4 linked regions of the Macaca fascicularis genome follow. The protein of the gene in region 1 interacts with the protein of each later gene in a biochemical or structural test. Links are inferred from orthologs where the notes say so. Each region holds a gene or a part of one and is shown on either strand. Other genes may lie near its edges. The genes, in order: SYK, ERBB3, FLT3 and ERBB4.

Region 1 (3,564 bases):
AAATATGATTAGTATAATTATTTATTGGCTTTATCCTATGATTTCAAATAACAATACATATTATACAACAGTTAAAATTGCTAAATTTCTAAAATATCTTTGGTTTTTTTTTTTTTTTGGTCTTTAGAAAGTATCCAACATGGAATGTACAAGTAAAAATACTGGTTTCTAAAGTCCTTTGAAACACACCCTCTCTTTGAATTGGTATGATACTAATATGAATGTGGTTGGATTTAGTAGCTTCATGGTATTTCAAATTTAAGGAATTTTTGTAAAAAAAAAATGTATGAGTAGGTAATTTATATGATTCAAGTAGGTTAAAAATATAGACAAAAGTATACACAGACATACATGCTTTTCGGCCAGGTGCCGTGGCTCACACCTGTAATCCCAGCACGTTAGGAGTCCAAGGCAGGTGGATCACCTGAGGTCTGGAGTTCGAAACCAGCCTGACCAACATGGTAGAACCTTGTCTCTACTAAAAATACAAAAAATTAGCTGGGTGTGGTGGTGCACACCTGTAGTCCCAACTACTCAGGAGGCTGAGACAGGAGAATCACTGGAACCTGGAGGAAGAGGTTGCAGTGAGGCAAGATCACACTGTTGTACTCCAGCCTGGGCAACAAGAGTAAAACTCTGTCGAAAGGGAGGAAGGAAGGAAGGAAGAGATGAAGGGAAGGAAGGGAAGGAAGGAAGGAAGGAGAGAGAAAGAAAAGAGGGAGGAAGGGAGGGAAGGAGGGAAGGAGGGAAGGAAGGAAGGAAGGAAGGAAGGAAGGAAGGAAGGAAGGAAGGAAGGAAGGAAGGAGAAATGCTTGCTTTCCAATCTGTCCCTTCCATTTGTTTTTGTGCATGTGCATCTCTGTGTATAAACATATATACATATATACACACACAGATACACATACATGTATATACGTATACACACACAAACATACACACCCATGTATACATTCACAAGTATATACATAAGCACATGTATACACACAATCAAAATTGGTTGTGATACTTATTTTAAAATATATTTGTATATCACCGTCATTTTGTACAATGAACAAAAATGTTTCTGTGTTAATCATAAGCTTTTTCAGTTTGTGAAAGGTTGTGATCTTTATTCTCTGCTTAAATTTGTGAATTAACATAGACATGACGGTGGACATAATTTCAACTAGAGAGTTTGGGGAGAGGAGAGGCTCTCTCGGTCAATTTTGCAAAAGTATGTCTTTACAATACTGAGTCTTTCAATCTATAAACACAGCCCATCCCCGCATTTACTAGGTCTTCTTCAGCCTCTCTCAGGAGAGTTGTTTACCTCTTCAAAGCATTACATTTAAATGTATCCTTTTAAATTCTGCACCTAGAAATTCACTTTCAGCGTTTATGAAAGGCATTTTATATTCACATTCATTACACGTAATCTGAGATGGTGAATCCCAAGATGTTACAGGAATTTGTGCATGTCATCGTTGGTGAGGTTTATTTACAAGTTATTTAAATATTTTACAGTTTAGGGTTTTTGCTTGGTTGGGACGTTCTTCAGTACTGTTCTTCACCATTCTTTTTATTTTATTTTATTTTTTAGAAACAGGGTTTCCCTCTGTCATCCAGTCTAGAGTGAAGTGGCAAGAAACTCACTGCAGCCTTGAACTCCTGAGTCCAAGTGATTCTCCCACCTCAGCCTCCTAAGCAGCTGGGACTACAGGCTTGCACTGTCACGTCTAGCTGATTTTTTTTAGAGATGGGGTTTCACTATGTTGCCCAGGCTGATCTTGAACTTCTGGCCTCAAGCAATCCTCCCCCTTCAACCTCCCAAAGTGTTGGGATTATCAGCATAAGCCACCATGCCCAGCCCCCACCATTCTTTTTTAGTAATGGGGCATTACTCTCATTGTCTGTAAAATTAGGGAATATAGGTTGGAAGGCCAGCCATCCATTACAGGCTTCTGAAGACACATTGTCACTCTGTGGCAGGTATTTCCATGGGACTGGTTCCACGCGGGGATTATGCTTCACAGGAGAAGATTATCTAGAAGCCAGGCGTTTCAGAAAGTTTCTTGTGTGTTATGATTTCTCTTGCAGAGTTGTGAAAACAGTGGCTGTGAAAATTCTGAAAAACGAGGCCAATGACCCCGCTCTTAAAGACGAGTTATTAGCAGAAGCAAATGTCATGCAGCAGCTGGACAACCCGTACATCGTGCGCATGATCGGGATATGCGAGGCCGAGTCCTGGATGCTGGTTATGGAGATGGCAGAACTTGGTCCCCTCAATAAGTATTTGCAGCAGAACAGGTATTGTCAGGTGCCCCCACAGGTCTGGAAGCTCTCCCCTAAGGGACAGGGCCCACCACTGGATGGGCTGAGCAGCCTGATTTCCGTGGAAGCCTTCCCACCCTCCTGTGCCTTCCCTTATTGGTCCATACTCAGGGACCTTGACAGAGGGAAAAAGGGAGACTCAGTCTTTGGATTCAGCTCTGTTAGCTCTAGTTGTTCAGAGAAGAACTCATTCGACAGTTTTGTCTTTCTTTTCTTTCTGTACTCATTCAGTCTTGGCCTAGTGATAGACTCAGCCTCAGAATATCTTGACAGGGAATCTCCTTTCTCACTGGGAAGAACACATTCTTTTTAAAGAAACATTTAAAATAAGTGCTTTTCTAAGAGGTGACAGTTATGTTTTATCTGGCTGACCTTATGTCCTCATGAATAATGACTTCTGAAAATATCAGTCGCTGCTAATTGATTACATCCATCAAGGGAGTAATCGTGTTCTCATCTAAAGCTGTTGTTGAGATGAGGAAACTCACTTGGCGTAAGACAGAATGATGGCTACTGAGGAGCTTGCTTTGTTTGCTGTGCTATGTTTGTACTTAGGTTGTCTCTTTAGTCTCCATGGAAGGGAGGTGTTCTTACCCTTTATAGGTGAGAAACTGAGACTCAGGGTTAGTTCTGTGACCTGTGCAATACTGGAACAAGGATTTAAGGTGGTGCCTGGCTGTCTGTGAACCAGGCCTCACCACTCTGTTATACTGCTTGTCTTGCAATTCCAAGCATGCCAGGAAACTCAATCCCATTGAACACCAGGAGAATATGGCATTCAGTCCTGAAGAGTTATATGCTAACAAAGTTATTTGTCACCACTTGTGAGTTTTGTTGTTTAAGAAGAGGGAAGGAGTAGATTCACCTACTGCCTGCATGAGGAGCATGGTTGTTTGTTGTGAAATGGGTCACTGTCGGTTATAGCTGATGAGATCGTTGTGACTTTCAGACATGTCAAGGATAAGAACATCATAGAACTGGTTCATCAGGTTTCCATGGGCATGAAGTATCTGGAGGAGTGCAATTTTGTGCACAGAGATCTGGCCGCAAGAAATGTGTTGCTAGTTACTCAACATTATGCCAAGATCAGTGATTTCGGACTTTCCAAAGCACTGCGTGCTGATGAAAACTACTACAAGGTAAGTACAACTTAGCTAATATTCAGAGCAGCTGGTGGTAAAAAATGCAAGATAAATGTATGTTTTCTTTATTTTACTATTGGTATGGTTTTAAAAAGCAATTTTGCTACTTAAA
Region 2 (3,098 bases), on another chromosome or scaffold:
CCCTGCCTTTTTTTTTTTTTTTTTTTTTTGAGGTGGAGTCTTATTCTTGTCGCCCAGGCTGGAGTGCAGTGGCATGATTTTGGCTCACTGCAGTCTCCGCTTCCCTGTTCAAGTGATTCTCCTGCCTCAGCCTCCTGAGTAGCTGGGATTGCAGGCACCTGCCACCGTGTGCAGCTAGTTTTTGTATTTTTAGTAGAGACAGGGTTTTGCCATGGTGGCCAGGCTGGTCTCGAACTCCTGACCTCATGATCTGCCCACCTCAGCCTCCCAAAGTGCTGGGATTACAGGCGTGAGCCACCGGACCTGGCCTTTTTTTTTTTTTTTTTTTAAGAGACAGGGTCTTGCTGTGTCACCCAGGCTGGAGTGCAGTGGTACCATCTCAGCTCACTGCAACCTCTGCCTCCCGGGTTCAAGCGATTCTCCTGTCTCAGCCTCCTGAGTAGTTGGGATTACAGTTGTGCACCACCACACCCAGCTAGTTTTTTGTATTTTGGGTAGAGATGGGGTTTCACCATGTTGGCCAGGCTGGTCTCAAACTCCTAACCTCAGGTGATCCACTCTCTCTGGCCTCCCAAAGTACTGGGATTACAGGCGTGAGCCACCTCGCCCGGCCCTCGCTGCCTTCTTTTTTGCAGGACACTGATTAAACCTCAAAGGTTTCTAATGTCTTCCACACTACTCCTATCAATCTGATCCTAAAACCCAGCCTCTCAGCATCAGAACTTACCTGGCAAGCCTCCCCAAGATTACCCTGGTTCATGGGCATGTATCCAGATGATGGACTTAAAAGGCTCTGGCTCTAGGAGGAAAAAATAAGGAAAAGGTTAAGATGAAGGGAGAAATCTATATTCACCATGGGGGCCTTTAAGTAGTTAATCTGGGTATCTGTAGGGTTTGTGAGGGCTTAGGGTGCAAAGTGTTGGGTAATTAGAAGGTGTCTTACCCCACGTGGCCGATTAAGTGTTCCAACTGGTAGGCTGAGGGCGGAGCCCAGTGTGGTGGTTGCCAGGTTGTCCTCCTCTGCTTCCAAGTCTAAGTCTAGGTCTAGTTCTGGCTCCAGCTCTACTTCCTCTAGCTTCTTGTTTGTCAGACCATGGGGCTCTGGCCCAGGGGCTATTCCAGGCCCACTCTCTCTCTATATCGATAAGTGATTGTTAGGGGGAATCCTGGTTCCAGCCAACTCCTCCTTTTTCTAAATTTCCTTAGTATCTCCTACTCCCTGCTCACCTTTATGACCAGATACCGTGGTGGGTCTCGGGCCATCCTGGTGAACTCATTGGCTAGTTCTTTAAAGGTTGGGCGAATGTTCTCATCAATCATCCAACCTAGAGATAAGATGTAGGAGGTAGAGACATAAAACGGAATATATCCATGGCCGGGCGTGGTGGCTCACACCTATAATCCCAGCACTTTGGGAGGCCGAGGCGGGTGAATCACCTGAGGTTGGGACTTTGAGACCAGCCTGGCCAACATAGTGAAACCCCGTCTCTACTAAAAAGACAAAAAAAATTAGCTGGGCATGGTGGTGCATGCCTAAAGTCCCAGCTATTTGGGAGGCTGAGACAGGAGAACTGCTTAAACCTGGAATGTGGAGGTCACAGTGAGCCAAGGTCACGCCACTGCACTCCAGTATGGGCGACAGAGTGAGACTCCATTAAAAAAAAAAAAAAAAAAAAAGGGAATAGAGCCACAAGAGGAGTACAGAGGGAAGTCAGAAAATGGCCGCGGTCAGGCCGGGCACGATGGCTCACACCTGTAATCCCAGCACTTTGGGAAGCTGAGGCGGGCAGATCACCTGAGGTCAGCAGTTTGAGACCAGCCTGGCCAACATGGTGAAACCCCTTCTCTACTAAATATAAAACAATTAGCCAGGTGTGGTGGTAGCCGCCTATAATCCCAGCTACTCCAGAGGCTGAAGCAGGAGAATCGCTTGAACCCGAGAGGCAGAGGTTGTAGTGAGCCGAGATTGCACCATTGCATTCCAGCCTGGGTGATAAGAGTGAGACTCCATCTCAAAAAAAAAAAAAAAGAAAAAAAGAAAGAAAATGGTTGGGCTCCGCTGGTAACTCACACTTGACCATCACCATGTAGACATCAATTGTGCAGATCTGGGGCTGTGCCAACCGCTCCCCCTTCTCTAGCAGGTCTGGTACTTCAGCCAGTCGCAGCCCTGCATAGGGCTCTGCCCCAAAGGTCATCAACTCCCAAACTGTCACACCTGGTGCAGGAAGAAATGGACTAGTCACTGGCAAAATAGTAGACATGGGCATGAAGTGAAGGGAAGGCAGAACCTGATCTGACATAAAAATCTGAAGTGCTTAGAGATTCTAAGAGGGGGTCTCAAAAGGCAAATTTGAAATTGGGGCCAGTGATGGTAGAGAGGGCATCCAGATGCACTGACCATAGCTCCAGACATCACTCTGGTGTGTGTATTTCCCAAAGTGGATACTCTCGAGGGCCATCCACTTAATTGGAGTCTGCAGATTAAAGAAAGAGGTATCACAAGTTTATTTCCACACATTTTCTTAGCATTTCCAAGTCCCAAGTTCTTGATCATTCTTTTCTTTGTTGTTCTCTGAACTAAAATATCTGGCATCTGCAGCCTCCTCTCCTTGAACTTACCATGAAGCATCTGCTTGCCTCCGGAAGAGACCACTGGCTGCTCCCTATCCCCACGCTTCACTCACCCCCACCTCCTTATCCTTTGTGTCACCTCACCTTGGCCTCACTGTATAGCAGCTGCTTATCATCAGGAGGCAGCAGGTCAGCCACACCAAAATCTGCCACCTGAACCTGACTGGGTGACTTGAGTAGCACATTTCGGGCAGCCAGGTTTCTATGCACCATACCATGTTCTTCAAGGTAGTACATACCCTGTAGGTAGAGGGGAAGAAAGTATTCTTAAGGTTAGGGGAATCAGTCACTGAGATCTGGAATTCTCCCAAACTTAAATCTACCTCTCAGCAGCAGTCCCCAACCTTTTTTGGCACCAGGGACCGGTTTTGTGGAAGACAGTTTTTCCCGGGGAAAGGGAGGGTTGGTTTTGGAATGAAACTGTTCCACCTCAGATCATGAGGCATTAGTTAGATTCTCATAAG
Region 3 (4,138 bases), on another chromosome or scaffold:
GGACTAGCTTATTTCACTTAGCATAATGTCGTCAAGATTCATCCATATTTTAGCATGTATCAGAATTTCCCTCCTTTTTGAAGCTGGAAAATAGTCGTATGTATATACTGCATTTTTGTTCATCATTCATCTGTTGTGGACATGGGTTGCTTCTACCTTTTGGCTACTGTGAATAATGCTGCTTTAAACATGGGTGTACAGACATCTCTTCAAAACCCTGCTTTCAATTCTTTTGGCTACATGACCAGAAATGGAATTGCTGGACCATATTTTTTTTTTAATTTTTCGAGAAACCTCTATAGTGTTTCCTATAGTGGCTGCACCACAGTAGACACTTCTAAAGTTTCGGCCATGTCCTGGGGGAAAGAATTATTGTGCTGTAAACAACATCTAAGGAAAATAACTGTATGGCCAAGAGTAAACAATTTTCATGCTTTATTAGAAAATGATTAAAATAATTAAGAGCATGGAATTCCTAGAATTGGGAGAGACATTATAAACCATTTGGTCTACCCCTTTCCTTTACGATGAGTAAACAGGTTTGTGGAGGTCAAACGGCCAGTTAAGTAAGGGAAGAACCAGAATTGGCATCCAGAGCTTTCCAATCTTCAACTTATTGCAGGAAAATAATAATAATTTTCAACTCGAAAAATTATGCGAAGAAGAAGAACCATTGAGCGGATGATTCGCAACATCCTCTGGGATGTATTTTCTGTGTGTTTTGTTTTCAGGGGTGTTTGTTAACCTCCCTATGCCTTGGTTGACATTGAAACCCCGCCTGTTTTTCTTGCTCCCGCCGCTGACTGGGTCCTGGGCATCCTAGGAGATGGAGGGAGAGACAAAGGAAATCAGTCCACAATTAAGATCCAGGGGGAATGGAATGAGACCCCATGCTCGCCTGTGCGCTGGCCGGAGTCGCCAGCGTGCCGCGCGGATTCAGCGCCCTTCTCAGGGCCTCAAAGATCCCAGAGCGCTAGAAGGGTGGTTTGTGGCTCCCTGCAGTCCCCACGCCCCGGATCCAAACGACAGAGTTCGGGGACTCACAGGGGCAGCAAGGAGGCAGAGCCGCGGAGCCCGTGCAACTTCTCCAGCGGGACCGCGCCCAATCTTCCCCGCCGCAGTCGGGGAGCCCCGGGGGCCGCCAAGCGCAGGCTGCGGACCGCGGCGGGCACGTGGGCTCGGCTGCAGCGCTGCGCCAGGCACCGGCTGCTCGGCTCGGCCCCTGCCTCTGGGGAGAGGGTTCCTCCCCCCTTCCACTTTGCACCAGTCCGAGGGAATTTGCGGTCGGTGACGCGCATCCTTAAGAGAGCCACCTGCAGCGCGGGGCGCGCCGCTCCAGGCGGCATCGCAGGGCTGGGCCGGCGCGGCCTGGGGACCCCGGGCTCCGGAGGCCATGCCGGCGTTGGCGCGCGGCGGCGGCCGGCTGCCGCTGCTCGGTAAGGCCCCGCTAGCCCGCTCGCAGCCCCTCGCGGCCCCTCAGCCCCCACCCCGCACTGTGGACCCGGGCGCGCGCCTCCTCCGGCCCAGCCGCCTCGCTCCTCCCCGCGCTCGCTCCTTCCATTGCCTCCCGCGCCCCTCCCCTCTTTCGCGCCCTCCGGACTCGCCCACTACTTGCCCGCGGCCCCGGCTTTTCCCACCCCGCGTCCTCTTCCCTCTTCTCCGACGTCTCTCCTCTGGCCCGGTCCGCGGTCCCGAGTGGCGGCCCGGACTTTGCAGACGGCCTCCCCGAGGCGCTGCGCCGGGTCTGGGGCAGCTCGGCCCGCGCGCTCCGGTGCTGGGCCGTCAATGGGAGTCTGCGGCCGCGAGCTCTGCGCCAGGTGGCCAGGGACCTCTTCTGGACCGACCCCTGGATACTGTAGACTCCTGGGTGTCGTCGTTAACTCTTCTTTTGAGGTTTTGATTTATAGAGGGAACTCTGATGGAAAAATGCGTCCGGGTTCTCCCCTAGAGCGAGTCGTCCTCAATAACGATACACCCCAGCCCCGCCGAATTTTGGTTGGATCAGCGAATAGTTTACCTAGGAAATATTATGCAAACAGATTTATATATTAAAATACTAGCTGTCTCTTTCTTCTACGCTCTTCTTATCCTGGCATTAAACCCCAGTGGGGTTTTCAAGGACTCTGAGGACTCTCCCCAGAGAATCTGCTGGGTAGCATAGTTATTGAAAAAAAAAAAAAAAAAGCTTCCGATCGGTTCGTGTCAGCTTTCTATTTGGAAGGATGAGAGGACTGAATCGAATTTGGGTTGAAGGCGACAGAGTTCTGGGAGCCCGGGAGCTCTGGTCCCTGTCCTAGGTCTGCAACCTTGGGACTGACACTCACCTCCCCCGGCCTCCGCGTCCTCATCTGTGCAGTGAGGGAGTCCGTGCGTGTCCCCTTCAGCTCTGAAATGCTAAGACTTGAAGTCTGTGGTAAATAGAGAAAATACTTGCAATATAGAAGTGCAGGAATTATATCCAATAGCTTTTGCTACAAATAATTATGAAATATAAAAAGTAAAAAATGTAAATCAAGGGAAAAAAGTGGAAAAACAAACATTTTAAAATTTTAGTTCTTAAACATTGTAGTTTAGTTCTCAAACATTTATCTTTACTAGTTAGTAAATCTGTAATTTCAAATGTATAGTACAATGTGTTTTTCAGATTCCATTAATACAAAATGTTAGCTTTCTATTATGTATGATATTAAGTAGTAAGTGCATTTTTCAGAAGCATAATGGGCTTTCTAAAGGTATAAGCGTCAATACTTGCAACTATATTTAAGCTGTATTGAATTCTTTTATATTTAGGAAAGAATTCAGAAATTTCTATATCTCTCTCCAGATATTTCTAAATGAAGTATAATTGGCACACAGTAAATATGCACAAATATTAAGAGTACAATTTCATTAGTTTTCATATATGTGTGTGCCCAAATAACCACGATCAGACTGAAATATAAAGTAATTCTAGCTCCAACCTCTCTGTCAGTGCTCCCTCCCCAGGTAGCCTCTATTCTGACTTCTGATGCCATAGGTTACTTTTGCCTGTGTTTGAACTTCATGTGAAGCAAACCATCACCAGTGCTGTTTTATGTCCAGTTTCTTTTACTCAACATTATAATAATAAGATTCAACCTTGTTCTCTGTAGCAGTGTGTTTTGTTTTTTTTTTTTAATTGCCAGTACCATTTCATGGTATGAATAGATGTTATAATTTATTTTATCCATTCTGTTCTTGAAGCACATGGAAGTTGTTCCAATTTTGTGTAATTATGCATAGCACTGCTGTGAACATTGTTTTATGTATGGTGGACATAAACACCATATATAAAGGATTATGCCCACACGTAGAATTCCTGGATCATAGGGAAGGGATATGTTCAGTTTTGATAGATACTGTCAAACAGTTTTCCACAGTGGTTATACCAATTTCCACTCCCACTAGAGTGTATGGCAGTTCCAGTTCCTCACATTTTTGTCAACACTTGCTATTATGGATTTTCTTGAATAAAGAAAGATAAAGTGAGAAGCTTAAACATGAGACCTTTAAAATGGTTAATAGCCTTAAATTCCTTGAATTAGAACATGAGATCCCAATTTCCCTTATATTGTAAACACTACTTTTTTTTTTTTTGAGACTGAGTGTCGCTCTGTCACCCAGGCTGGAGTGCGGTGGTGTGATCTCAGCTCACTGCAACCTCCACCTCCCAGGTTCAAGCAATTCTCCTGCCTCAGCCTCCTGAGTAGCTGGGATTACAGGTGCGTGCCACCACACCCAGCTAATTTTTATATTTTTAGTAGAGACGAGGTTTCACCATGTTGGCCAGGCTCGTCTCGAACTGACCTCAAGCAATCCACCTGCCTCAGCCTCCCAAAGTTCTGGGATTACAGGTGTGAGCCACCATGCCTGGCCACGCCCGGTCTTTTATTTATCATTTATGAATAATGAAGAAGCTTTCCAAGTGGCATTTAAAGGAGAGGAACATGTTCCCAATGGGCTTTTCTGCATTATGTGCTGATATTGGACAGAGAGAAGTATTTCAATATTTTAAGAGCTGTGTACTACCTTTTTCATTAGTGTTAAAAAAAATTCGTATTCAAAGCCTTGAACTGCACATTTGAGTTGCCATCCTTTTCCCTTGTTGCTTATCTTCCTT
Region 4 (4,248 bases), on another chromosome or scaffold:
GAAAGAAGTCCCCGGGGCATTTACAGTTTCCATTGGATCACCTTAGTATGCGTGTTGCAATTATACCAGGGATGCACCCGAGAGTTTTTCTTTGTACGGCCCTTTCATCTGGATCACTTTGTGTTTTGAACAAGTGAGACTCGCCTTTGTGCCCCCAGAATTTCAAGTACAGAGTCACACACGGAACAATGGCACGCTAATCCTCGCGCTCTAAATGGGCTCACTTGTGGGTCTGACAATTCGCCCAACGAAACGAGAAGAGATGAGCGAGGGCGCGAGCTGGTGTCGCCTGAGACGAGGAAGAGGACAGCTGCAGAACTAATTTGGATTACATTCCTTGCAGAAATTCTGAAAAGGGCTTTTCGGCATAGCTCAACCCGGAGCCGCACAGTTAATACCAAATTGCTGCGGACTCGGAGCGGGGTCCCTCAGCGGCAGAGGCTGAACCAGCCAGCCCCCAGTAGGTCGCCTCGTAGAAATTCCTCTCGGCTAAGCCTGCATGTCGGTCGCCACTGCCTTTGAATGGGTCAATGTGTATAATCAACCCATTGAGGGAAAATATGAAGGGACTCGAAGTGGGGAGGGAGATAAAAAGAGATGTATCTAAGAGGCCGCTTGGAATGTCAAGTCCGTGTTGGTGTGATTCCGGGGGTGGCTGGAGCGCGGGACCTGGTATGCGTGAAGAATTTCGGAGTAATTGGGAGGGTGCAAACAGCCAGCACAAAACGCCGCACATGTGCCATTCGAAGGTCATTTTGAAAGCCTCGATGATTGTAACTTGTTGTTTACTAGGCAAAGGAGGCGGCGGCGGCGGGGGCGGAGCGGGAAAACTACAGCTTGCTGTTTCCTTGGTGAGGTCAGAAGGACACCCTCCGGGGGCCTAAAGCGCTCCCTATCGCCACTCCCGGGGGCTTTATCACCTCAAGCTACTTCCCACGCTCCAGTCACCATCCCCGAATGGTTTCAGAAATCTCCCTGGCTCTCCAAAAGGCACCCCTTGGCCGCATCAGACACCGGTCCTCCTCAGACCTCTCCCGTCCCACTTTCATCCCCAGGAAACTCAAGTGTCAGAAACTTTGAGCTTCCTTGCACTGCAGGTGCTGTCATTAGTCCTGCAAGCCTTGGCGCTCCAACCCCGCCGCGCTGCCTCTCGGGGTCAGTTAGCCCTTTGCCTGCCCAGGTACCTGGGGCTCGAGCTCTCCAGCAAGCAGTGGCCGCGCACCCGCCGCCGCCGCTTGCGCCTCGGGTGGATCCAGTGACCCGCAGGCTCGGCAGCCCGGCCAGGCAGTAAACAGACAAGTTTGAAGGACTCCGGCCAATAGCAAGTTGAACTACAGGAAGAACTCTTCCAGGAGCCAAACACGGCAACCGACGGGAAGGCCCGGCTTCTGGCTCGAGTGTGCCAAGCCATTTTTTTTTTTTTTTAAGAGGTCATGCAGGCGAGCAAGCGCCCCTCAAGTCAATGGGGCGAGGGCTCCGGGAAGCCGGCCGAAGAGGCCCAGAGCTCCAGACCCCGGACCGAGGCGCGCCCGCCCGCTGCACTCTTGCTGCCCGGGCTGGGTACGAGTCGCGTCTGACCCCACAAGGCTTGGGCGACTGGGGGCGCAGCGGCCGCCGGCAGCACACACAGGTGCAAAGCCCGGGTCTCTGAGCGCCACTCTCCACCGCCCTTCAGGCTTGGCGCGGGAGAGGCCCAGCCAGCACCTCCCCAGGACCCCGGCCCTCCGCGGCCCCGGCGGTGCGGGTTCCTCCCTCGAGGGACCAGACAGGGACAGGAGAGTCTCCTCTGACTGGGGATTTGGGTCTCCCATGTCCCGAACAACAGGCGCCACCAGAAGGGATCCCGCTTAGGCTCCCACACAAAACGCTCGGGAAAGAAAAACAGGGGGTTAAGGAGAGAAAAAAGAGGGGCTCAGAGTGATTTCTTCACGATAAAGCACAGGCACACATACAGGGTAAGTTTCAAATGGAAAGAGGGGCGACCGAGAGCCCAGGGAAGAAGTCCCGGTCGAGCGGTCCCTCCACGCCTCCCGGGATGGGTGAAGAGGGCGGGGGAGCCACTCAAGGCAGCCCCGCCGGCGGCGGCAGGTTCGGCGACCGGAGCGCCAGAAGGAACCCACCTGACTGAGAATCGCTGGGCTGGACGGTCCCCGCCGCCACGAGAAGGCTCACCCAGACCCAAAGTCCTGTCGCCGGCTTCATTTTTTGGAAGTCTCAGATCCCGTGCTGACAATTACATGTCCAAATGGCATATCCCCCTTTCGGGCACGCGGAGGAGATCCCCCAGCCGGGCGCGCGTGGGGGCGCGAGGGGGGCGGGCGCGGCGCGCGCGGTGTAGCGACTCCCAGGGCGGGCGGCCGAGTCCGCGCCCGCGGGTCCAGGGCCGGGGCCCGAAGAGGGGGCGAGTGTGCGTGTGTTGGAGTGTGCTCGGTGTGTGCGCGTGGCGGTCCGGGCCGAACTGTGCAGTTATTTCCCCGCGTGAGCCTTCGCTTGCTCGCTGCCTCCTCACTTTCTCTCTCTCTCACTGGTTGGTCAACAATAAAAAAGGAAGGGGGGCGAAAGGTTTCCAAAAAAAGTTGATTGCAAAGAGGCGGTAGGTTTCCGGCCTCTCCCCGCAGCCGGGCTGTGTTCTGCTCCTTCTTCAGTTTCCTTGCACCTCCAGTCCAAATGGGGAGGGGAGCGGGGCGGGGGGAGCTTCTCGCTTCTCCCCGGATCCCGTCCTTCTTTTTCCTGTCAGCTTTCCTCACACTTGTCCGGCGGCTGCGGTAATTAAAGCTCCGAGCGTCATTTCCAACGCTCCGCGGTCTCCAGCTGCAGCCCACAGAGAAATTAATAAGACTCCAGAAAAAAAAAAAAAAAAGAAAAAAAAAAAAAGGTGGGGGGGGCGGTGGGAATAAAACAACCCTCCACGCAACCAGGCAGGCTCTGCTCAGCCGCGCAAACCCCGCCCATGCTCTGACCCAACTAGCCACGCCCTTCTCCCCCGCCCCCCGCCCCAAAGGGAAATCTCATTGGCTCAGCCACTCCCCAAAATCCTAGGCCTCCGGAGTTGGGAAAACACCTGTCAGGGAGAGGGAGCCGCTTGGTGGGGGCAGGGGAAGCTGGATTTAAAGGGCTCACCGAAGCCATGCACTGAAGCACTCCTCTTCCCTCCCTGGCAGAGGCCTGGGACAGCTGGCCCGCAGAGTGGACAGACCATCGGAGGGGCGCTTACAGAAAAGATTTTTTTAAAAAACAAGTCAGCATTTTCTCCATTGTCCCACGGTGCTTATCTACAGACAGGACTTTCCCTAGAAATAAAAGAAAAGTCAATGTTGCTTTCAGCAAAAAGCCTCCGCCCGCAGCACTCTGCCACTCATGGTCCACAATTAGAAAGTACTTTAAAAGTGTGCACAGTAAGTAACTAGTAGCCCCTGAGGATTAGGTGGTGGTAGGGATATAATCACCGCCCCGCCTCCCGCCCCCAGTTATGCCATCTCTCCGGTTATTCCCACATTTCCAAACTGACCGACATTGAGCCAAACTAAAATTTCACATTTATAAAGCCATACCCTTTGATTTTTAGATTTTATGTTTTTTTCACCTTTGGAGTTCATTCTTATTAAGCAGATTCTAGTCCAAAGCCACTGATTTAATCTTAAAGGGCTAGAAATTGTCTCAACCTGAAAGTATTTAAGGAGGCCACATCAGAACATAATTAACCTTAAATGATTCTGCTTCTTCTACAGTAGACCCAGCTTTAGGCCCTTTCCTTGTCCTCACTCTGCACATTCATGGTCCCTAATCCGGAGGTCATTGCTAGTTATGAAAATCTCTGACCTTTTCTGAATCTAAAATATTCTGGGACTGGGTCATATCAATGTTCATATCCCTTGCCTTTTACAGCTCTGAAACCGCACCCTGGCAAGGACCAGAATCTCCTGGGGGTAGTAAGTTATTAGTTACTATTTGTACAGGCATTCTATGTATGAATCACTTTCCTTTTTTGGTTTTTCTAGAAGCAGCAAATATATAAATAAAAAGTATCAGGGGAGCTTAAAAATCAAACCACCCTGCCTTTCATTTGAGACCTGGATCTCCATTTCCCACTCTCTTATCTATAGCTCCATCCCTTAAGAATTTCCATGGAGCTGAGAACAGATAGGAAATACAGATGCCTGAAGCCTGAAGCTTTCCCTTTCTTAGACCCACAGCAAATAACAGGCTCCATGAAGACGCCAAACAAGCTGAGCATGCGGTTTTAGCAGA

What was found.
Region 2: the proteins of SYK (region 1) and ERBB3 form a complex in vitro, tested with the Homo sapiens proteins (2 studies listed by BioGRID and IntAct, with this or other methods). The link is inferred for Macaca fascicularis from reciprocal best matches to the Homo sapiens genes SYK and ERBB3.
Region 3: of the proteins of SYK (region 1) and FLT3, one has a biochemical effect on the other in vitro, tested with the Homo sapiens proteins (2 studies listed by IntAct, with this or other methods). The link is inferred for Macaca fascicularis from reciprocal best matches to the Homo sapiens genes SYK and FLT3.
Region 4: the proteins of SYK (region 1) and ERBB4 form a complex in vitro, tested with the Homo sapiens proteins (2 studies listed by BioGRID and IntAct, with this or other methods). The link is inferred for Macaca fascicularis from reciprocal best matches to the Homo sapiens genes SYK and ERBB4.

Annotation. Positions count from the first base shown.
Region 1 is NC_088389.1:121,173,282-121,176,845, forward strand, and holds part of SYK (tyrosine-protein kinase SYK), read left to right. Parts: intron 1-2,076; coding exon 2,077-2,286; intron 2,287-3,259; coding exon 3,260-3,449; intron 3,450-3,564. UniProt on the Homo sapiens protein: Non-receptor tyrosine kinase which mediates signal transduction downstream of a variety of transmembrane receptors including classical immunoreceptors like the B-cell receptor (BCR).
Region 2 is NC_088385.1:62,883,394-62,886,491, reverse strand, and holds part of ERBB3 (receptor tyrosine-protein kinase erbB-3), read right to left. Parts: intron 2,875-3,098; coding exon 2,719-2,874; intron 2,478-2,718; coding exon 2,402-2,477; intron 2,219-2,401; coding exon 2,072-2,218; intron 1,326-2,071; coding exon 1,228-1,325; intron 1,136-1,227; coding exon 944-1,135; intron 800-943; coding exon 728-799; intron 1-727. UniProt on the Homo sapiens protein: Tyrosine-protein kinase that plays an essential role as cell surface receptor for neuregulins.
Region 3 is NC_088391.1:8,024,618-8,028,755, reverse strand, and holds the start of FLT3 (receptor-type tyrosine-protein kinase FLT3), read left to right. Parts: upstream 1-1,311; 5' UTR 1,312-1,393; coding exon 1,394-1,436; intron 1,437-4,138. UniProt on the Homo sapiens protein: Tyrosine-protein kinase that acts as a cell-surface receptor for the cytokine FLT3LG and regulates differentiation, proliferation and survival of hematopoietic progenitor cells and of dendritic cells.
Region 4 is NC_088386.1:108,380,045-108,384,292, forward strand, and holds the start of ERBB4 (receptor tyrosine-protein kinase erbB-4), read right to left. Parts: upstream 2,823-4,248; 5' UTR 2,203-2,822; coding exon 2,121-2,202; intron 1-2,120. UniProt on the Homo sapiens protein: Tyrosine-protein kinase that plays an essential role as cell surface receptor for neuregulins and EGF family members and regulates development of the heart, the central nervous system and the mammary gland, gene transcription, cell proliferation, differentiation, migration and apoptosis.